Linked DNA regions of Elephas maximus indicus. The protein of the gene in region 1 interacts with the protein of each later gene in a biochemical or structural test. Links are inferred from orthologs where the notes say so. Each region holds a gene or a part of one and is shown in the gene's direction. Other genes may lie near its edges. The genes, in order: SHANK1, WWTR1 and CACNA1D.

Evidence for each region.
Region 2: the proteins of SHANK1 (region 1) and WWTR1 interact in a test that uses a peptide from one of them, tested with the Homo sapiens proteins (2 studies listed by IntAct, with this or other methods). The link is inferred for Elephas maximus indicus from reciprocal best matches to the Homo sapiens genes SHANK1 and WWTR1.
Region 3: the proteins of SHANK1 (region 1) and CACNA1D interact in a biophysical measurement, tested with the Homo sapiens proteins (2 studies listed by IntAct, with this or other methods). The link is inferred for Elephas maximus indicus from reciprocal best matches to the Homo sapiens genes SHANK1 and CACNA1D.

The regions. Positions count from the first base shown.
Region 1 is NC_064829.1:97,701,452-97,708,742, forward strand, and holds the start of SHANK1 (SH3 and multiple ankyrin repeat domains protein 1), read left to right. Parts: upstream 1-4,246; 5' UTR 4,247-4,298; intron 4,299-6,683; exon of another isoform or gene 6,684-6,771; 5' UTR 6,772-6,814; coding exon 6,815-7,069; intron 7,070-7,267; coding exon 7,268-7,291. UniProt on the Homo sapiens protein: Seems to be an adapter protein in the postsynaptic density (PSD) of excitatory synapses that interconnects receptors of the postsynaptic membrane including NMDA-type and metabotropic glutamate receptors via complexes with GKAP/PSD-95 and Homer, respectively, and the actin-based cytoskeleton.
Region 2 is NC_064841.1:10,270,957-10,278,722, forward strand, and holds the start of WWTR1 (WW domain-containing transcription regulator protein 1), read left to right. Parts: upstream 1-4,684; 5' UTR 4,685-4,794; exon of another isoform or gene 4,795-4,966; intron 4,967-5,390; 5' UTR 5,391-5,393; coding exon 5,394-5,824; intron 5,825-7,766. UniProt on the Homo sapiens protein: Transcriptional coactivator which acts as a downstream regulatory target in the Hippo signaling pathway that plays a pivotal role in organ size control and tumor suppression by restricting proliferation and promoting apoptosis.
Region 3 is NC_064838.1:57,664,080-57,671,999, forward strand, and holds the start of CACNA1D (voltage-dependent L-type calcium channel subunit alpha-1D), read left to right. Parts: upstream 1-4,867; 5' UTR 4,868-5,248; coding exon 5,249-5,312; intron 5,313-6,879; coding exon 6,880-6,981; intron 6,982-7,207; coding exon 7,208-7,517; intron 7,518-7,920. UniProt on the Homo sapiens protein: Voltage-sensitive calcium channels (VSCC) mediate the entry of calcium ions into excitable cells and are also involved in a variety of calcium-dependent processes, including muscle contraction, hormone or neurotransmitter release, gene expression, cell motility, cell division and cell death.

The DNA.
Region 1 (7,291 bases):
TGGCTTTCTTCGAGGGTGGCAGGCCCAGCCTGGGCCAGCACCAGGGCCCCTCAGGACCAGGCAATGGTTTGGCCCTGTCCCCTTCCCCTCTCTCCCACCCCCAGCCATTCCTGAGGAAGGGGTTTCAGCTAAGGTTGTTATTACCCCCAGCCACCATCGCCCACACATCCCAAGAGAGAGATCTCTCCAACCAGTCTCAGGCTCCAGGGTGATTCCTGCCCTCAAATCTCCTATTCCCACCCTCCAAGCCCTTGTCCCAGGTGCGTGTATGTGGGTGAGTTATGCCTGTGGGGACACATATGTGTCCCAGGGTTCATTTACCACATTTTACTGAATGCCTCCTGCAGACCAGACCCGGGCCAGGCCGTGCTGGGTACTCCAGCTGCTCACGGACAAGTGGACTTGGACAGACAGTCCCACTTGGTGAGAGGCTGGGGCTGAGGGGTAGTAGAGGAGGTGGGGGTGGAGGAGGGAGCAAGCAGGGAAAGGTAGGGTCAGGACAGGTTCCTTCAGAAGGTGGAGGAGATGCTGGGCTCATGGAGAGCTCTGAGCATTTGGCAAGGTGCCTGTCTCCTGCCTGGACCACTGCAGTCGCCTCCTCCCTGCTCTCCCCCTCCTTCCTCCAGAGCCCCTCCAATCCACGATGCTTGCCGCAGCCAGAGCAATCTTTCCCACCAGTAAGTCAGATCACGTCACTCCCCACTCCCCTGCGCCCCCAGCTTCCCATCAGATGCAGGAGTGGAGCCAAACCCAGCCTGGCTAGCCTGGCTGAGCTGGGGAGGATGAACCCTTTGCACCATCTCCCCTCCCCTCACCCCCCAGCTCCAGCCACACTGGTCTCTGCTATTTACAGAATGCCAAGTTCACCCCCACTCCAGAGCCTTTGTGCCAGCCATTGCCTCCTCCTACACGCTCTTTGCCCAATTTCTTCTCATTGTTGAGGGCTTTCTGCCCACCTTAGGTCCCTGCATGGTGCAAATGGTTTGGGTTTCAATGTGACTACTACTGCCCTGGTGGTGCAACAGTTAAGTGCTCAGCTGCTAACCGAAAGGTTGACGGTTTGAACCCACCTAGCGGCTCCATGAGAGACACAGCTTAGGAAACCCTATGGGGCAGTTCTACTCTGTCAACGGGGTCACTAAGAGTCAGAATTGACTCCATGGCACCTAACAAAACAACACTAATTGAAGGTGACAGTTTGAATCCACCCAAAGGTGATTTGGAAGAAAGGCCTGGTGATCTGCTTCCATAAATCTTACAGCCAAGAAAACCCTAGGAGCTCAGCTCTACCCAGTACCCCAGGGGGCTGCCGTGAATTGGAACCGACTCAGCAGCAGTGGGTTGGGTTTCAGTTTTTCTGCCCACCTCATTTAAAGAAACTTCCCCTCCACAAGTTGTTTCTGTGTCTGGGGTGTCCTGGGGTCTCCGTGAGTCAGAATCAACTTGAGGGCACCCCGGTCTTGTTTTTTCAGAGGAGTCCCTAGGTGGTGCAAACAGCTAATGCACTTGGCTGCTAACCAGAAGGTCAGAGGTTCAAGTCCACCCAGAGACACGTTGGAAGAAAGACCTGGGAATCTATGTCCAAAAGACCGCAGCTATTGAAAACCCTACAGAGCACAGTTCTACTCTGACGCCCTGGGGTCTCCATGAGTCAGACTGGGCTCTGCAGCAGCTGGTTTAACTGTTCCAGAATAGCTCAGGGGCTGTAAGCTGGTTAAAATTGGGGGTCTGGGGAAGCATCCTGAGGCTGTGTTTCCTGGCAGGGTAAGAGCTTGACCAAAGGTCAGTCTCCCTAGCCTCCCTCCCACCCCCCTCTTGGCCCCTCTGAGCCCCACAGCTAAAGCCAAGGAACTGGGGAACCATCAGGGCTCCGAGGAGCCAGGCTGCCTGCATTAGACTGGACTTGACACACCCAAGGTCGCAGATGGGCTGTTCAGGTGACACCCCGAGTCTCCTGTAGTAGGTGGCGGTGGCAGTGGGGGAGGAGGTGGAGAGGCCAAGCCTGCTCCAGCCAGGCCTGGTGAGTCATCCAGGGCTTCCCCAGCCACGGCTGAGCTGGTTTTGCCAACAAGCATGGAGCACCCTAGCCAGGGATCACGGGGCCCACTTGTCAAAGGACGAAACCGAGGCTCAGGGAGGGGAGATTGTGGCCTTCTGGAGGTCACCAGCATGGCGGCAGCTAGCCAAGGTTTCTGGCTCTGAGCAAGAGCAGGGCATCTGCCCTCAGCTGCCGGGAGCCCCAGGAGGGGCCTTGGAAATGAACACATCCAGCCTTCGGTTTTCCAAGAAAGCTTGCTACACAGCAAAGGGCAGTGTGACCTTGGTAGGCTGCTCACTAGAGCCCCAGCCTCTCAGGGCCCAGAACCCCTGCATAGGCCGGGAAAGGCCTTGTAAACTGTAGAGAGCTGTGCAACCTCTTTCACTGCTGGCACCAACACGGGCAGCTGTTCTCTCCCCAGGCCCAGCTGCTCACCACCTGGGCCGGGTGTGCATCAAAAGCAGGTCTTTCTGCTCTAGCTCATGGTGGTGGTGGTTGGGGGGGGGGGAACTCTGGAGTGCTTGTAGCTGTAGGTACACCCAGAGGGTGCCTGGAACTGTAGGTGCCTGTGCTCAAGCTGGTGGCCTTGGAGGTCCTGTTGGGGCTGGGGAGACAGGTGGCAGCCTGGGCCCCCAGGACGTGCACTCACTGCCCTCTGACACCTGCCCTGTGCCTGTGGGTGTGTTCTGGGCATGAATGAGCTATCTGCATACACTATGTGTGCTGTGTGCATGTGTGCACATGCGAGCTGGATATGTCTGTATATGCATGGGATGAATGAGAATGTGCAACTACGTGTGTGCCAGGCAGGATGGACTAGTGGTTGAGTGACAGCTTTAGAGCCAGCCTGCTTGGCACCACCTCTGCCTAGCTGTGTGACCTCAGGCAAGTTACTTGGTCTCTCTGAGTCTCAGTTTCCCCTTCTATAAAATGGGGATGATCAAATTTCCTCACCCATAGGGTTGTGTGAGGAGTAGATGAGTTAACCCAGAGCCTGGCACACAGGAAGGTCTCTGTAAATGTCAGCTATATTGTCACGAAGGGGAGCTAGGCCATGGCTGTGGTGGGCATCTGAATTCGTGTGTGCGTAAGTACCTGAGTGACAGGTGGGGAATGAGTGAGCTGGGAATGCATGCATCCATCCCTTACAGCTGGGTGCCTCCTGTTTCGGGCTGCAGATCTGGGCATGAATGTGGCGATTTGCGCTGTGAGGAATGGGGGATTACATGTGCGTGCGCACAGGCAGCAGGTTTGCCGTGGCCCATGAGCTGATATGCCTGTGTTCAAGCTGGGTGGGTTTGGGTAAGGTGCACCCAGGTGCATTGTGTTTGGGTGTGCATGCCCTGCAGGGCTTGTCTAAGTGGGATGTCTGCCTGGGGGCCCCCTGCTGTGCCTGTGTTCAAGTATGCCACCAGGTGTGTCCACATGTGCCCTGTGTTCCCGTAGAAGGGGTGTGTGTGTGTTTGGGGAGAAGGGGACAGGGATCTACAACCCTCATAATCCAATTTGGGGTGTAGATCTCAGCAACAAATATTTATTGCACCCGACCGTGCTTAGAGGGGGTGAGCGGCGCTCTGGGAAGGGGCTGCCCTGGGGTGTGCATGGGGTACCCCAGGGGGGTGGGGCCCGTTTTCGGGGTATGGAAGCCAGTGGGGGTGGAGTCAGGGTATGGGGACCCGGTGGCAGGGAGGAGTGGGGGGGAGGGCTTGGAGAGGGGGTGGAGCCAGCGGTGGGGGGGATGGGCGAGGTTTGGGGGCGCAGGGAGGGGCGATGTCTCCTCCGCCGGCTCCCGGAGGGAGGGGAGAGGGCGGAGGAAGGGGAGGGAGGGAGAGAGGGAGGGAGAGAAAGAGACAGGGTGAGGGAGAGACAGCGAGAGCGAGAGAGCGAGAAGGGAGGCAGAAGAGGCGCGGAGCGGGCGGCGGCGGCGGCGGCCCGAGGAAGAGGAGGAGGAAGACAGGCGGAGACGCGGCGCCCGGAGCGGGCCGGACCGAGCCGGGGGCCGGCGAGGAGGGGCGCGGCGGCCGCGGCGGAAGGGGGGGCGCTCTGCGGATGGCCAAGCCCGGTCCGCGGGGGGGGGTGAGGTTCTCGGCCCCCTCGCCCTCCCCCCCGGCCCCCGCCCGCCCCCTCCCCGGGCCCGCTCGCCCTCCGGGGCGGTGGGGCATGGCCTGAGGGTCCCCCGTCTCCGGGGGGGTGGGGGGTGGGGGGAGGGGGGAGGGGCCACGGGCGCCGCCGACCGGGACTCTGCAGCCCCGCCAGGCAGGTAAGGGGGCCGGGGATCCGGGGTTTGGGTGAACGGGGGGGCTAAGGCTGAGGGAGGAGGCAGGGGCGCCCCGAATGTCCTTGGCCGCGCGCCGGGCTCCGGGGCCTGGGTGTGGGGTGTAGGTGAGGAGGGGAGCGTTACCCGGGCGACGCCAAAGTGGGTTATGCCCCAGTCCCCCGTGTCCCGTCCCAGATGACAGCCGGGCTGGGAAGATGCACCCCTATATCCCGCCAGCAGCGCCCCCAGCCCGAACCCGCCTCCCGGTGCTCCAGGGCCATGGGCTCGATTGCCGTGCCCGCCTCCTGGCCCTGCCGGCCACTCCCCCGCCTCACCCACCCTGGACCACATGGGCTCCTAGCCCCCTCCTGCGGTCCCACAGCTCAAGGCCCTCTCCAGATCATCCCAATTCCCACCTCGGCGAGGGGTCTCGGCCTTTGTCTCTTCGCCCCCTTCGACCCTCTCACACTCCTGCTTCTCTTTCCAGGCGCCTCCTATCCCCTCTCCACCCCTCCCCATGCTCCCGCCACCCCCACCCCGTCTCTGTTCCTTGCTCCACCGGCCGGCGCGCCCCCTCGCCTCCCGCCCCCGAGTCCCGTTCCCGGTGCCCCCGCCCCCTCTCTCCGGCCAGAGCTCTCCCCCACCAGTGTCTCGGCCTGAGCCCCAGTGCCTTCTCCCCGCCTCTCCCCGCCTCCATTCATTCTCCCGGGCCGGCTCTCGGGCCCCGCCAGCAGCCCCCCGTCCCCTCGCAGCCTCCCAGGGCACCCCCTCTCTCCTCTTCTCCACCCCCCTTGCCGATTCCTCAGCCCGTCTCGGTACCAGCTGCGTGCCAGCTATTCTTAGCCGAGGAGCGTTTGATTCATGCCGCCCCGGCGGAGTGTGCCCGCTCCCTCCCTCGGGGCCTGAGGGGGAGGGGCCGGCGCTGGTCCAGGGGCTTGGGGACAGCCGCGCGCGCGGGGGGCCAGGGCCGGCTCTCCTTTCATCCACTCAGTCACCTCCTTAGTGCTGAACTGAAGCTGAGGGTCAGCCAGGGTCAGTCAAGGGGGAGTGGCTGCGGGGCCCCAGGGCCGGAGGTGGGACGTTGGGTGAGCGCCGGGAGAAGGGTTAGAAGGAGACCGGGGTCCCCGGAAGGGCAGGGTGGAGCAGCGCTGTTGGGTACCTGGAGGGGGAGGGGGCTACGAAGCGCTGGCCCCTCGTGGGGGAGGGGTTGGCCGGCTGGTGCTTAGATGCTCGCTCGCCTTGGCTCTTGGAACTCTCCTGCCCCCCATACACATTTTGTCTTCCCTCCCCCACCCCTCAGCCCATCCCCACTCCCCCAAAGTCAGCAGTACCCTCCACTGCTTCCCATCTCCATGGCAACCGTGCAGGAGCTGGGCCTGGCGTGGGGGGGAGGGACCAGACCAGACATCCTGGTTTCCGGTGCTGGGGTGGGAGTGGGGGAGAACATGGGGGAAGAGGACCCCACTTGGGACCCATCCTTATAAGGCCACCTCAGGAAGAACAGCGGGGGGTTGCAGATGGCCTCCCAGCCCAGTCCCCAGACCCTCACCCCACTTCTTAGTCTCCCTACCAGCCCTCCAACCCCCCCACAGAGTGGAGCCACCAGTACCAGTCCATGCCAATCCACCCGCCAGCAGCGCTAGTCCTGGAACAGACCCATAGGTCACCCGCAGCCGCCCGACACCGATCCAGGCCACCACATCTCTGGTCTTCCCGGGGTCAGCCTCTCGCCCACCCGCACGCCCTTTCAGGATACTCCCAACTACCTCCCTAGGCCACCTCTGGTGATTCCCTCAGGAACAGCCCACTCACGATGCCCTGCCCTGTGACACCCCATCTCGGTGCCCACTTGCTTTCCTGGGACGGTCAATCCCTTAACAGCTCTGTGCACACACACGCTGGCAGCCACACGCCTGTGGAGTCACCAGCCCCACCTGCTCCAGCACCCGCTCCTCCCGCCCCAGGCTGCCAGCATCTCCGTCTCTCCCTTACTACCTCGCAGCCTCAGCCTCCCCCCAGCTCCCCAGGAGAAGAGGAAGGGAGGGCCCAGGGTGAGGGGCCAGGCCAGGGCCAGGAGGGCAGGATGCCGGCCGCTCAGTCCACCTGTCTGTCCTCTGCTAATTTTAGCTGCCTTTTCTGTGGCCTGACAAAGTGGGCCAGTAGCTCCCGCGGTGATTCTGCGGTTTCTGGGACACAGCGACGCTGGGTCAGCGGCAAAGTGGGGCGCAGGGGGGCGGGGGGCTGCGAGGAAGGCCAAGGGCAGGGAAGGAGACATGTGCTGGGAGCGTGGCCGGGCTGGGGGTGTGTGCGTGTGCGTGCGCGTGCGGAGGCGGCCGAGGGGCGGAGTGTCTGGGGGTGTGCCCAGCCTACTTCCTGCCGGCAGATATATGCAATGAGGTGCGCCCGTGGCCGCTGGTCCCGGGTCCTCTGAGGGGTCCCAGGCTCCTAGTCTGACGGCTTCCCTTGGCCCCCGCAGCCGCCTGTGATGCTGCCACCCCCCGTCGCCCCGTGGCCCCACGATGCCCCACAGCCCCGCGTCCAGCGAGGACGAGGAACGCCACAGTGCCAGCGAGTGTCCCGAGGGGGGCTCAGAGTCCGACAGCTCCCCAGACGGGCCCGGGAGAGGCCCCCGGGGGACCCGGGGCCGGGGCAGCGGGGCACCTGGTAGTCTGGCCTCAGTGCGAGGCCTCCAGGGCCGCTCCATGTCTGTCCCCGACGACGCTCACTTCAGCATGATGGTCTTCAGGATAGGCATCCCGGATCTGCACCAGACGGTGAGTGACCGCGGGGAGGACAGGGGGACATGGGTGGACCTCTGATCCTGGGTGCCCTCCCAGGAAGCCCCTTTGTCCCCCTCCTGCCTTCAGTACCATCATCGCCCTCCCCCAGCCCTTCATCTCCTCCCAACCCACCTCAGGCTCCTCCCTGGCCCCTGACACACCCTCTTCCTGGCCTATCCCCTCCCCCACCAGAAATGCCTGCGCTTCAACCCCGAT
Region 2 (7,766 bases), on another chromosome or scaffold:
CCTCTTTTTCACTGACCCTCTACTTTACCAAGCATGATGTCCTTCTCCAGCGACTGGTCCCTCCTGATAACATGTCCAGAGTATGTGAGACGAAGTCTCATTATCCTTGCTTCTAATGAGCATTCCGGCTGTACTCCTTCCAAAACAGATTTGTTTGTTCTTCTGATAGTCCATGGTATATTCAATATTCTTCACCAGTACTGTAATTCAAAGGCCTCAATTCTTCTTCGATCTTCCTTATTCATGGTCCAGCTTTCACATGTGTTTTTGAGGTGATTTAAAACACCATGGCTTGGATTAGGGACACCTTAGTCCTTAAAGTGACATCTTTGCTTTTTAACACTTTAAAGAGGTTTTTTTGCAGCAGATTTGCTTAATGCAACGCATTTTTCAATTTCTTGACTGCTGCTTCCGTTGGTGTTGGTTGTGACCCAAGTAAAATAAAATTCTTGACAACTTCAATTTTTTCCCCGTTTGTGATGTTGCTTATTGGTCCAGTTGTAAGGATTTTTGTTTTCTTTATGTTGAGGCATAATCCATACTGAAGGCTTTGGTCTTTGATCTTCATCAGTAAATGCTTCAAGTCTTTTACACTTTGAGCAACCAAGGTTGTGTCATCTGTATCATGCAGGTTGTTCATGAGTCCTCCTCCAATCCTGATGCCACGTTCTTCTCCTTATGGCCCACCTTCTCAGATTATTTGCTCAGCATACAGATTGAATAGGTGTGGTGAAAGGATACAACCCTGACACAAGCCTTTCTTGACTTTAAACCACACAGTATCCCCTTGTTCTGTTCAAACGACTGCCTCTCTAAGTACAAGTTCCTCATGAGCACAATAAAGTGTTCTGGAATCCCCATTCTTTGCAATGTTACCCATAATTTGTGATGATCCACACAGTCGAATGCCTTTGTATAGTCAATAAAACACAGGTCAACACCCAGGATGGGAGAGTGAAAAAAGCTCTCTGCTTTGGGGTTACAAACCCTGGGATGAATCTCGGATTTTTTGTTCGTTTGTTTCTGCAAATTAATTGTATGTATTTGGATGAGATAGTTTTAATTTCATTGGGCCAGTTTTCTTATCTGTAAAACAAAGATGTATAGTATATTATCTATTCTACTAGTCTTCTTGAGACTTAAGTAGCAGCCATTATTTGTTGGGTGCTTTGGCATATGATGGAGCCCTGGTGGCTCCGTGGTTAAGAGCTCAGCTGTTAACCAAAAGGTCAGCAGTTTGAATCCACCAGCCAGCTGCTCCTTCGAAACCCTGTGTGGCAGTTCTACTCTGTCCTATAGGGTGGCCGTGAGTCAGAACCTACTTGAAGGCAACGGATTCTTTTTTTTTTTTTTTGGTTTTTAGTATATAATAGGGTTTTTACTAAAAACTTTATTCGCATTTTCTTATTTAATTTTTAGGATGCACATTTGCATAACAAACTATCCAAAAACTTAGTGGCTTAAAATAATACCCAGTTTATATGCTGACAGTTCTGCAGCCTGGACTGGGCTCAGCTCTGTGGTTCTTCTGCTGGTCTTCCTGGTGGTCACTGATGTGTTTGCCATCAGCTAGTGGGCTGGTTGGGGGCTGGGTTCAGCTCAGATGCCGCAATAACTGGGTTTCTCCCAGTTTCCGAGTATCTCAGGGCTTTTCCCACTTGGATTTCTTACCAGGCGGCTCAGCTCTCTCAAAAGTGCAAAAAAAAGGAAGCTTCCACACCTTCTTAGAGCTTATGGGCAGAACTAGTACAGCTTCACTGCCACATTTTCTTGGTTAAAGCAAGTCACAGGTCTAGTCCAGATTTAATGGAAGGGATTACATAAGGGTGTGGATACCAGGAGGGTTGTTCATTGAAGGCCAGAAATGTAATGGATTAAACCCAAAACCAAACCAAACCTGTTGCCGTTGAGTGGATTCCGGCTCACAGCAACCTCTTATAGGACAGAATAGAACTGCCCTATAGGGTTTCCAAAGAGCAGCTGGTGGATTTGAACTGCCAACGTTCTGGTTAGCAGCCATAGCTTTTAACCACTGTGCCATCAGGGCTCCATGTTGCACATTAACACAGTATTATTATTTCCAACTTGCAGATAAAGAAACTGTGACTTTGGGAGGCTAAGTTCCTTGCCCATGGTAGAGGGTAGAGCTAGGTACTTTGGAGCTTGTGCTCTAAATCATGGGCCAACATTGTCTTAACCTAGAATCCTGTGAAGTGGGCATTGCTATTGTCTCTAATTGACAAAAAAAAAAGGAGGAGGAAGAGGAAGGAGAAGAAAAACCCCAGGAACAGAGCTTGAGTATGTTGCGTGAGGTGACCCAGGTATTTTGCCGCAGAGGTCTACACTTACCCACCACACCATGCTGCCTCTAATGCACAGTACCTGACACATACAAGGCACTGTAGAGCTTAATCTGAAGCTGTTGTTGGAAGGGCTGGGATGACAACGGGTCTTTCGAATCATCCACTATCATATCCCAGGCTGTTTGGGAACTCGGAGTTTTCCCTTTGAGTTATCCTGTAATCAGGACAGTTTTAATTTCTGGTATCTACTGCATCCCCCATTGTCTATTTCTTGAAGCATGGCAAGGAATGAAGACTGCAGCCTTGCCCATCCAATCCCAACCCTAACTCTCACCCGCTGATTAGCCTTGTGGCTCCTCAGCACATGCTTCTCTGTGGCAGCCAGGTTTCTTTGCAAAGCAGGAGCTTCCTTCAGGGGTGAGGACCTTTCTGTAGCAAGGCGGGACTCAGTTTCCATCCTTGAATCATCAAGTCAGCCGTGTTGCTTCTGAATCAAGAGCCATTTGATCCCAGCACCTTCTCTATTTCCCCACTGTGGCAGCTATGGGGGATTCTGACCCTAGTTTGCAAAGCTGCTACTTCATGGCATAACCTGTGCTAGCTCCCACTTCCCTCAGTCACCTGTGGGTAGAGGACTTACTGTACGGAAAACATGGGGTTCTGGAGGTTCCTCAAAGAAGCCATGGCCTCCTTACCTTTCAAAGTGATCCATGTGGCTGTCTTTCTCTAAGGCAGTCCTGGTGTTTCCCAAACTGTGAGGGGTCTGCAATCAGATCAACACTTCTAGTACAGACAAGGGGAGAGGGGGCTCCCTTTGGTGGGCTCTGCTCTATTTTGGGCGGTGATAGGGATGTAACCGTTTAGCAAGTGGCTCCCAAATTCGTGCAGTGGTTAAGGGCTCAGGTGCTAACCAAAAGGTCAGCAGTTGGAATCCACCAGCAGTTCCTTGGAAACCCTATGGGGCAGTTCTCACTCTGTCCTATAGGGTTCCTATGAGTTGGAATGGACTGGAAGGCAACATCTCCCTCACCAAGGTAAAACAATGAGGAGGCCTCCTCTTTCCCTTAAACTTTTTCAGGGCAACTCCAGATGTTGACTTCATTTTGCCCTTACAATACAGTGTAAGAACAATACCTGCACAATTCTATTTTATTTAACAAACACTTATGGAGCCTGGCCGAGTGTTGTTTGTAGTGCTTTACATATATTGCCTTATATATTTTTAAAAGTTCTATCTGAATGAAATGGGGTGGGGTACAGGGATTCTGGAGCTCAGTTCACCTCCGATGCCACTTTCCCATTCTCCCCAGTGGAGAGGGGACAAGGGAGAGAGAAGTGAGCTGCTCTGGAGGACAAGGTCACCTCCTACTCTCCGCAGCTGTCTAGCCAGGCTTAACTTCCTCCCCCTAGTTTAGGGTCTCCACCCCTCGGCCAAATCCAGTCGGTAGGGGGTGGGTGGCTTTTTCCGGGTCACTGGCGCACCCTCTCCCTCCCAGCCACCTGCTCCGGTTCCATCCCGGCACCAGGCTCTCCGGAGGGCGTCAGGGACATTCCAATCCTCCCACCACCCGCGCGGAGGGCGCGGAAGAGGGGGGTGGTGCGCGATCTCTCTCCCCTTTCCGCACCCACCCTTTGACTCGGTTTCTTCTCAATCCCTAGTGACCTGAGACACCCTGGAGAGGAAACTAAGGGTTGATGAATGGTTCGAAGGTCGTTTGTTTACAGGCCACCCGCTGGCAAAGCCGCATTTCCAGCGACAGAGGCGCTTTCTGGGCACCGTCTGCGCTCAAGCAGACAATTGAAAGCCAAGCCGACGAGATGCCTCCTCGCCACACCAAATATGGTCACAAGTGCAAAGCAGGCTCCGTGGAAAGGCCAGCCTTGGTGGCTCCCCGCGCAGGGGCGCTCCCGAGCTCGCCCTAGGACACAGCCGCGAGTCCGAGCGGCGCTCGGGGTGCCGGGGGCTCGGCACCCAGCTCGAGGGGAGGGCGCGGCTCCGAGGACCCGCCCTTCGCTGGTCTGGGCCCCTCACCCGCATGCCCTCCACCGCCCCCAGCCTTGGTTTCGGTCCACAAGCCCTTGATAAAACAGGCTCGGGCCACTTTCCCTTTGATCCCGCCCCAAGTCCTTGGTAAACTCAAAGGAATGCAGATCCAGGGCTCCGCGGGAACGGTCCGCCCGGCGGGAGGAGTGGGTGGGGGGCACCCGTCTCCTCTTACCCTGCAAAGTACCCATCACGCCCAGGGTTTCTGGAGCTGGGTAGGAGAAGGAGGAGGAGGAAAGGGAGGGGCGAGCGGGGGCAGGCCCGCTTTGGATTCAGAGTCATGCATAATTCAACAGCTCAACTTTCGGGCCCGCCTCTTTCCTGGGGGTGGGAATTTGCTCCAAACTTTGTTTATGGGACAGTCCGGGAGCCGCGGCGGCCGCGCTGTCTGCTTCTCGTCTGCGCCCATCTCGCCGAGTGCGAGCGCCTGAGGCCGGCTCGGGGGATGTAAGAGCCCAAGCCCCTCGGCTCCCAGGCACTGAGTGGGTCGGGATTTGCCAGCCGGGCCCCGGCTCCAGCTTCGCGAGCTCGGTCCCCACCCGAGCGACCCAGCCCGACGGCGGGTTCAGGCTGGCCGGCGGCGGCCGCGCGCCCAGGCTTGGCTTCGCTGCGCGCCCAGGTAGTGCCGGCTGGAGCGCGCCGCTCGCCCGGCCCCACTCCAGGGCGCCTGGCTCCTCGGGCTTCCGGAGTCGAGACGTCGTGGAGTTGGCTTGGGTTAGACTTCTTTGGGGAGGGGGGTCTGTCTGTCCTAGAAAGCTGCGACCTCTCCTTTGCCACTAGAAGGTTCAGCAACATCCTGCGTGCAGTCACCACTCCCCTCCCCCTCCTTCCTTCTCCTTCTCCTCCCGAGAACTTCTTGGCTTCAAGAAAGTTGCATAATTCTCCAGGCAAGGAGGGACCCCTCCCCCATCCGCCTGGTCTCGCTGCAGCGTGTCTGCGATCCCGAGGCGGGCATCTATCAGTCTCCTCGTTTTCTTTTCTATTCTTCTCCCCCTCCCCGGCTTTCAATAAAAGGCTTATCTGACCTTCCTTCTTGCTTGCAGAAGATGAATCCGGTCTCGGGACCCCCTCCGCTCCCGCCGCCCGGGCAGCAAGTGATCCACGTCACGCAGGACCTCGACACAGACCTCGAAGCCCTCTTCAACTCGGTCCGGAACCCCAAGCCCAGCTCGTGGCGGAAGAAGATCCTGCCCGAGTCGTTCTTCAAGGAGCCTGACTCGGGCTCACACTCGCGCCAGTCGAGCACCGACTCGTCGGGCGGCCACCCCGGCCCCCGACTGGTCAGCGGTGCCCAGCACGTCCGCTCGCACTCGTCGCCCGCGTCCCTGCAGCTGGGCACGGGTGCGGGCGCGGCGGCCAGCCCCGCGCAGCAGCACGCGCACCTTCGCCAGCAGTCCTACGACGTGACGGATGAGCTGCCGCTGCCCCCAGGCTGGGAGATGACCTTCACGGCCACTGGCCAGAGGTACTTCCTCAAGTAAGTCAGCCTGGCCAGGGGAAGCAGAGGCACGATGACCCGGGGCCCGCGCTTGTGTGTGTGTGTGTGTGAGAGAGAGAGAGAGAAGGTGCACGTCCTTCCAGGGTTCTTTCCCAAAGATCTGGGTGAACGCTGGCAGCAAGGAGTGAACGGCTGGGTATTGGAATTGTAAGGGATCAGAAGCTGGGGAGTCTCTGGTGAGGTTCATCCAGAGTCCTGCAAGTCTCAAGAGATTCAGGACTTGGAAACTCCTAGAGATAGGAGAAAAGTGGGGGATTCCCATGATACTCACAGGTGACTGTTCCTGCATTGGGAGGACTGAAGCAGACTCCTGGGCTGAGGCCCTGTTGTAGTTATCTAGTGCTGCTACAACAGAAATATTACAAGTGCATGGCTTTCACAAACAGAAATTTATCTTCTCACAATTTAGGAGGCTACAAGTCTGAATTTCAGAGCACTGGCTCTAGGGGAGGGCTTTCTTTCTTGGCTCTGGAGGAAGGTCCTTGTCTCTTCAGCTTTTGCTTCCTGGTTCCTTGGAGATCTCCATGTGTCTTGGCATCTATCTTACCCTATCTTTCCTCTGCTTAAGTGTTTAATACCTTTTTATATCTCAAAAGAGATTGACTCAAGATACACCCTACACTAATCCTGCCTCATTAACATAACAAAGACAATCCATTCCCAAATGGGATTATAACCATAGGCACAGAGGATAGGATTTACCACACCTTTTTGGGGGGACATAATTCAATTCCTACATTCTGTCCTTTGCCCCCCCCCAAAAATTCATGTCCTTGCCACATGCAAAATACATTTACCCCATCACATCATCCCAAAAGCCTGATTCAACTTCAAGTCCGAAATCTCATCTCCTGAATCATCTAAATCAGATATGGGTGAGACTTTAGGTGTGTTCCATCCTCACACAAAATTCCTCTTCATCTGTGAACCTGTGAAATCTAGACTACAAGTTATCTACTTCCAAAGCACAATGGTGGAACAGGTACAAGGTAGACATTTCCATTACAAATGGCAGAAATTGGAGGGAAAGAAGGGATAACAGGCACCAACAAGTCCAAAACCCAGCAGAACAATTCACATTAGCTGTCAAGGCTTGAAAATAATCCTTTCTTCTCTGAGACCATCTGGGCAGTGGCCCTGCCATCTGGATTCCAGGTGAAGGCACCTTAGCTTGGGGCTTCAGCTCCACCTTCCAGACCCTTTGGGATGGCATCCCTGTTCTCTTGGCTTTGGGCAGCCCCATTCTCCTAGTCCATCTGACTGGTGACCCCAACCCCTTGGCCCTGGCAGGCCCTATTCTTCTGTCCCTTGGGCTTGGCAGCCTGGCCCCCTCAGTTTTGGGGGTCGCCCCATCCCCCTGGCACACCTTAATGGCAACCCGGCACTTTGGAACCAAGTTGGTGAACACCCTACTGTTTGAAACCTAGGAGGCCGTGGCCTCACCCTTTTAAACCGTGAAGGCCCTGCTTCCTGTGCTCCTTCCAACAGTTCTGCTAATCTCCAAGATGCTCCAGGGATGGTCCTTTTATTTTCTTGGAGGACAACAGATGTAGCTCCTTTGGACTGTTTCCTGCCTGCAGAATTCCAAGAGGCAGACGGTGTTCTTTCCTTTTAGTTCTTTTTCTGTCCCTTCAGTTGAAGCTTCTGCTTCAGTACTTGGTTAGATACATCAATCACAGGCTAAATCTCTAAAAAAAAAAGATTGTGTAGCCACGTCCTTGGCGAGCATTCTAGGCCATATGTCCTTAGTTTGTACAACCGAATTTTCCAAACCTTAAACTTCTATTTTCATTTTGCACAATTCATTTTTAAGTCCATCTCTTTCCCCTCTCTTTCCTCTCACATTTTACTGTAAGTGGCAAGGAGAAGCCACATGGCATCTATAAACTCTTGCTTAGAAATCTCCTCAACCAGATCTCCA
Region 3 (7,920 bases), on another chromosome or scaffold:
GAACTGCGCCATAGGGTTTCCAAGGAGCAGTTGGTGGATTCAAACTGCTGACCTTTTGGTTAGCAGCCAAGCTCTTAAGCACTGTGCCACCAGGGCTCCAGTTGAACCAATAATTTCCAAATGATCAATGTGTTATGTTACCATTCAAAGTGCAAAATAGACTGATAGATTTTAATGTAACAAAGTATGAGTGCTCACTTGGGCAGCACATATACTAAAATTGAAAGGATACAGAGAAGATTATCATGGCCCCGGTGCGAGGATGACATGCAAATTCGTGAAGCATTCCATATTTTTAATACTTTCTTTTCCAAGGCACATGGAACATTCTCCAGAACAGACCACATATTAGGCCATAAATTAGGCCATTAACAGAATCCAAAACATTGAAATATTACAAAGCGTGAAATATTTCACTAAAATAGTTTCAAATTCTACATTTCGACTAACCTTTAAGAGTCAAGTTTTAGTGTTTTATCAATGAAGAACATCCACAATTATCTACCTCTTCTTTTCAACTTCGTATCGTGTGAGGCTAGATATTCTTCATATACTTCAACCCAAACATTCTATCACTATGGATTGAATGCAGAAGCAGATATGAGAATCCAGTTGTCTTTTATCCAGCCAGACATTAAAAAGGTTTGCAAAAATGTAAGAGTACCACTCTTCTCACTATTTTGTTTTGGGAAACAGAGTTACTTTTCATAAAAAATATTAACATGTAATGGGCTTATTATGATGTTTACATGAATTAGTAATTTAAAAATGTTCTGTTTTAATTTTGAATATGGCAAACATCAATAGATATAATCTACATAAACAAAAGCTCATTGAAGTCTTAGATAATTTTTAAGAGTGTAAATGTGTCCTGGGTCCCAAAAGTTTGAGAACCCTTGGTCTACAGGATAACACCCAGACTTGTAAGCAGGACATTATAGACTTTCTACGATCTGGCTCCGTCCTGCCTTTGCAGCCTCACTTCTAAGTACCCCTAGGTTGCAGCCTAACTACCTACTTACTGATTTATACACATATTCTGGACTTTTCTGCCTCTGACGTTGTAGATATGGCACCTCTACCTGGAACACATGTGCCCACCCGCTTTGTCCACCTGTACCGGTTGTTAGTGGGTCAGGGCTAGGTTCTTAGCACAAGGGCCTGTGGATGGACAGCCTTCTTCAGATCTAACTTCACAGTATGTTTATGGATATATTCTGCATATTAGCTTTCTTTACAATTACCTTCAGGATCTGTTTGTCTGTCTTCCTTAATTGGAATTCTTGGAGGGCAAAGGATCCAATTTTCCATCCATTTTGTATTCTTACCATCTTAGAGCTAAGTGTCCTGCCATCAATGTTATGGAATTTTTGTAAATATTAGCTAACAATTTCTAGTCACATCTATGGGCTTTTATGATTCTGTGCAGGTTATTTAGTATCTGCTGTGAACATAACACTTGGCAGTTTGGACAGGGGGCTAAGGAGGTGAGACTTGCACTGTGGTTGGAGAGAGTACTTACGGCCAAGAAGCAATCAAACAAGACACAAACGGTATGTACAGTAGTCAGAGGGCAAACTAGCTGCTACAGGACTTCAGGGACGGGGCTGCATACATATAGGTGGATGGAGTAATCAGAGAAGCCTTCTGGGAGGAGGTAGGGACTTGATCAGGGTCTTGTTAAATAGGGAGGATTTCGTTGGGGTCAGCAAGGCAGGGATTTCAGGTCAGAGAATAAACACGAGCTGAGGCAGAGAATCAGAAATGAGTATAGCGTGTTCACGGCTTAATGAGAATGCTGACCACAGTGAAGGCGAGTGGTGTGAAATGATAAGGCTGAAAACTAGCAAGAGGAGTTTAGACTGGACATGGAAGGAAAGGAGAGCTCATAATATTTTTTGGTTAGGGTAGTGACTTGGTGTTTTTTGAATATAAGATGGATTATCTGTGGGAGGTGGAATGGAGATGGGCCATCTAACTAATGATCCAGGGGTATAAGGTGGTAAGGCTGTGGCATGGGCTTCTCAGCAAGGCTTTTAGAAATACATGCAGGGTAACCACATCTGAAATTACATCTCGCTGCTTTCAAGTGGCAGTGTTTTATATATAATGGCATGGGGACTAAGACCACACAACAGTGTATTAATGACATACTTGGGTTTTACCAGGTTTGGCTGACTAGAGCTGAAACATTTTATTCTAGTATTTTCTTATGTTTATTGTCTCAGCCACTGAGTAGTTGTGTATGGTTTTGGCCAAGTTACTTAACCCTTCAGTGCCTTAGTTCTGTCATCTATAAAATGAAGGTATTACTAGTTCCTACTGTGCCACCAGGGTTTCTGTCTTATAGTTAAACGTCTACACAAAGGAAGTCTTTAAAAAGATTAGCTATTTATTTATTCAGTAATGTTTAAATTACCCAATGTACCAAACATTCCAGAGCCATGGAGCTGAATGAGGGCCCTCAAAAAACTTGCTGGAGACATTTCAAGGATGGCACTCATTCAGAAGCTGGGACAGAATAACTTTAAAAACTCTAGTTCCATAAACTTATTTAGATCTAAAAGGTAAAACCTTTTTTTTAAAGGGAGACCTTTGTCACAATTTTAATCATGTCACTTATCAGCTTAAAAACCTCCACTGACTTCCACTGCAGAAAGGATGGATAAGCCATCTTTGACTGGGTCTGAGTCTGTCTTTCCAGCCTCCTTCCTTCCTACAGTCCAGGCAGCCTGTGGCTCAACCACAGTGTACTCCTGCTTATTGTCAACCTCATCCAACATTTCACACCCATCTCCCTTCTGCTTTTCCCCAAAAGCTTGTTCCTGTTACTCCTATTTCTACCGCTCTTTAAGAAGCAAGTAAAATGTTTCTTCTGTGAGAACTTGTCAGATACCCCCAATTATAATTAATCCCTTTGATGCATGCATAGTACTTTCTTTGTACCATTTTATTTTATTCATACCTCCTATGTTCTGTATGGTATTAGACATATAGACACACTTTTCTTTTTCCACTAGATCTTATGTCCTTGAGGGACCCTCTGTATCACAGATTTGTCCTGACAACACCTGGTCCAGACACAGGTGCCTTATGAATGTCGGCTGAACTGAATTGAATTGTAAGCAAACAGGGTAGAATTTTGTAGAAAAGGTCTCAATAGGCAAGGCTTTAGACCTGGATTCCTGAAAGTGACAGGTATACTGGAGATTTTCTGTTTGCTTCAGGCCTGAGGAGTCCTTGGAATTCTTTGAAGGGAACCTTCTTCTATTCCTTCAGCTGTTGGCTCAGAAGCAGCCTTAGATGAGGTGGCGCATGCCAGCTTTATATTATTACTACACCACAGGGCTATTCCTCTGCTGCTTCTCTCCAAAACATGAAAATAAAAAAAAAGGAGAGGGTTCCTCTATCCTTCCCGTCTGGACACCCCTCTCAGGAAGGATGTCTGGTCCCCACTCCCAGATGCCCCCCAAAATTGTGCATGCCCCCGTTGTTCACGCAGTGTGCCTTCTTTAGCCAAAGAGTGCCTTCTTATAAACACTTTAATTTTCTTAATTCACCCTGAGCTTTTTTGCTTTAAAAACAGTTCTAAAACGCTGTAGGAACATGTAGATGGAAACAAAAGCAAATAAACTGAATCCTGTGAAGTAACAAAGCAGACACGCTTCTATGATAGCACAAAGCTAAATGAAATTATCGGTCATCCACTAGATACAGTATTTTTCCTTTTAGACAGGAGCTGCCGTTTGCAACCCCCACCCCCAAATACAAAAGGCAATGAAGGTATCATAAAGCTATTCTCCACAGCTCCCAGAGGGGAGTCAACAGTTTCAGCAGCACTACCTATTTCTATAGGCAACCCAAGCGCTTTGAAAAATCTTGGTTTTTACTTTCTACTACCTGCCTCCAAACACACGCGTAGAAAGAGCGAGCAAGCACCCCCCCTCCCCAACTGCCTTTGAGCCTTAGAGTCCGCGGCGCCAGATCTGGCGCAGGGCTGAGGAGGGGGAAGGGGGTGCGCTCTGGAAACCCGATTAAATCCAAAGGTGCGGCTACCTGGGGGCAATGAGTGCTCTCCGGAGAGCCGGGCTCCCCCACCCTCCTCGACTAGAAAGAGCCAAAGGTAAAAAGGGCGCCGGCCCGGCTCCGGAGCTGTAGGAGAGCCAGGTAGAGAGCCCCGCGAGGGGGGCGCGTCGACACCTGTGCTTCCAGGGGCGGGGCCTCCTCCAGGTGTGCCGAGGGGGAGGATGATACCGACAGCCTAGCGAGGCCAGCCCTGGGACCCCGAGGTCCCTTCCCCCGCCCCGGAAAAAATGCAGGGGGAGGAGCGGTTAACCCGCACCTCAGTGCCGCGGGATCCACAGGCCCCGCCCGCCTCCTTTGGGGGACTGCGGGGGGAGCTAACCCTGCGGCGCGGAGGGGGTTAACCCGGCGGCCCGCGGCCGGAGCGCGCTTAACCCTTTGGCTCCGTCAGGTCAGCGGCGCAGGCGGCGGTGGCAGAAGCCCGAGTCCCAGGCGGCGGCCACCCCGACCCCACGGGACGTGCGGGAAGAGCCCGCCCGGCCGCCCCCAGCTGGGGCGCGGCGCAGCCGTGGGAGGCTCGGGCGGGCGGGCGGGCGGGGGAGGGAGGGGACGGCGGGCGCGCAGCGTCGCCAGGGCGAAGCCGGCGTGCGGCGCGGCGCGGCGCGGCGCGGCGGGCGCGGAGCGAGCGAGCCGGCGAGCGGGCGGGCGGGCGAGCGCCTGCCTCCGTCCCCGGATGTGAGCGGGGCTGCCCGCGGTCCCGAGCCAGCGGCGGCGCGGGCGGCGGCGGCGGCGGGCACCGGGCACCGCGGCGACGGCGGGCGGGCGGGCGGGCGGGCATGGGGGGCGCTCCGTGCGGCCCCGGCGGCCGGGCCGGCATCTCTGCGGCGTCCCTCCGCTAGAGAGGGGACCAAGCCGGTTCTCCTTTGCAGCAAAAAATTGCATGTATATATTATTAAGATAATATATACATCGGATTTTATTTTTTTAAAAAGTTTATTTTGCTCCATTTTTTTTGAAAAAGAGGGATCGTGGGTGGCGAGCAGTTTTTTTAAATTGTCCTTATTTTCTGTTATTTGTCCCCGTCTCTCCCCACCCCCTGCTGAAGGAAGACTAAGGGCAGGGACCGCGGCTCCCACCTATTAGTAACCCCCTTCCCCGTTCTTCCCCCGCCCCGACGCCCAGCACAGTGCCCTACACACAGTAGGCGCTCAATAAATGTTCGTGGATGATGATGATGATGATGATGAAAAAAATGCAGCATCAACGGCAGCAAGCGGACCACGCGAATGGTGAGCAGCCAGAGCCTGGGCACCCGCTGCCACATCTAATCCTTGTCATGGCCCTCTTCTCACCCCCTCGCCCCCTCCCGCCCCACACTTCTCCGTCTCTGATGCCTGGGTGGGTTGAGGGGGTTGGAGAGGATGCTTCTTGCCCGGTGTCATCTACATAGAAGGGAGAGATGCGTGAAAAAACCACTCCGTTCTCCCCTTCAGGCCCTGAATGTCGGAGTTAATTCTGCATTTGTGGGGTGGGGGCGGCCGTGAGTCTCTGGTGTTCTGTGCAGCAGGAGGGGCGAGCCGAGGTGATTCGGGTTCAGTGTCCTCGGGCTCAACTTTCCACCAACGCAGCCGAGTAATGAAGGTGGTGGTGGGGTTAGCCTCTTCTCCCTTTCCTCTCCTCCTTCGCCCCCTGGCTGACTGGGAAGGTCTCTGGTGGCATCCGGAAAATTCTAGGATTGCCGGGTTTCACTCTTCGCGCCGGTGGGTGAAGCATACCCCTCCCCTTGCGGGGGGAGGCCAGGTCTCAAATGGGGGGGGGGAGGGGCGGATGGAGCGTGTATTCCCACTCCCGGTGCCGGCACTGTCGGTAACCTAGCAATGCCCGGGGAGTCGCTGCCGCTGTGGGGCTCCCCTCCCCAGTCAGGGCACCACGTGCAGTTTCCACACCTGCCGGGGCTCTGTCTAGGGAGGCTGGAGCAGCTCCTGGCCAGCCCTCCCCCCTCTTACTTGGAGGTCACCAACCCCTCTCCGTCTCCCACTGGGCTCGAAGCCTTCCTGAGCTAGCGCTCTCCAAGGGAGGGCTTGGCACGACTCATCCTGGGCTCCCACTGTCAGCTGCCCTCCCCACTCTGCCCCCTTCTCAGGCTGCTGGGCAGCAGACCCGTGCTTGCTTTGACTCTGCCTTGCTCTTCACTTAACAGTAATTGGTTTTTCAAACGCTCATGCCCCTACCTCTCACTTTGGTCTCTGCCCTCATAAAGAAATTTTGGACAAGAGTGGGTGCAGATGCCTAGGATACCTGCCTGGGCTTTGACCTGACTCAAAGCTAGTGGGGGCTTCCCACAGAAGGTTCCCTTGGGGCTCTGCCCTTTGTGCACCTGGGTGCCAGACTGCACTCAGGTGACTCCTGTTCAGGCCTTGAGGGCCCTTGTCATAACCCAGGCTGTCATCCTAGGTGTAGGAGCGCAGGGTGCCTGCCTCTCTCTGGATGCTGGCTTGGCTGATGCTGCTGCAATTTAAAATGCAAAAAAGCCCTAAAGATGTTTTCTGTTTTCGGAAGCCTGTGGAGGAAATGAATCCCAAGCATCATGAATTTTCATTTGCAGGAAGCGTCAGTGCATGATCTAGATATTTGTTACGGGGCTTTTGGTAATGCCTGGGTGCCTGTGGAGGATTTTTCGTTTTTTCTTTCATGCTGAAAGAACTGCAATTATGGCTGTGGAAAGATATTGGAGAGATGATTAAGATTATTGAATTATTGGCACTGCCCCCCCCTTTTTTGTAGTGGTGGTAGTTATTGTAGAGCAGAGCTGTTGTACGTATCTGTTAAGTCATTAGAGATACATGGGTTTTACAGATTGGAAAGAGTGTGGAATAAATGTGGGCATGACCTCAGTTTGTCTGAAAATGCCTAAACGACTCCTGGTGAAGACACGGGTGTGGAGGGGCACTAACGATGGTGAGTGTAATGGTGTACTGCTCCTGGGTGACCGACCGACACTCAGGCCAGAGCTGACGGACTTTTCCTGCAGCTCTGGCTGACCAAATCCCTGCTTCTGAAACACAGCACATGAAGTTCAAAGTGGGCCCATGGGTGTGATCCCCCCTGTTTCTGTTGGACACAAGCTTGGCTTTTTTTCTAGACACTAGATACTCATTGTTATTTTTCTTTTCCTTCTCCCCAGAGGCAAACTATGCAAGAGGCACCAGACTCCCTCTTTCTGGTGAAGGACCAACTTCTCAGCCGAATAGCTCCAAGCAGACTGTCCTGTCTTGGCAAGCTGCAATCGATGCTGCTAGACAGGCCAAGGCTGCCCAAACTATGAGCACCTCCGCGCCTCCACCTGTAGGATCTCTCTCCCAAAGAAAACGTCAGCAATACGCCAAGAGCAAAAAACAGGGTAACTCGTCCAACAGCCGACCTGCCCGTGCCCTTTTCTGTTTATCACTCAATAACCCCATCCGAAGAGCCTGCATTAGTATAGTGGAATGGAAGTATCCTTTTTTTTGGAAAGTCTTTCTCATTTTCTCTTTTACCATCTGTTCTTTAAAAGGATTTGCTTTCTGAAATGGCACTTACCAAAGCTGCAGCGGTCTGGAATGTGAACCACAGAAGAAGCTGTGTGGAAGGGGTTTCATTGTATATACCTTCAGATCTCCTAGGGTTGCAGAGGCCTGGCTCTGTGGGTATATTTAGCCCACCCTCTGGGTGGGTGGGTGGGGGTGTGTGTGTGTGTAGAGCAATGGGGGGAGGGAGTATGTGTGTGTGTGTGTAGAGTGATGGGGGAGGGAGTAGCAGCCTAAAACTTCAAAGTGGCAGATAATTAAAGTATGAAAAGTAGTCTGGTCATTTGATACTCTGTGGTTAGTTTAAAATCCACTGTTGTTTTTTGGCAGT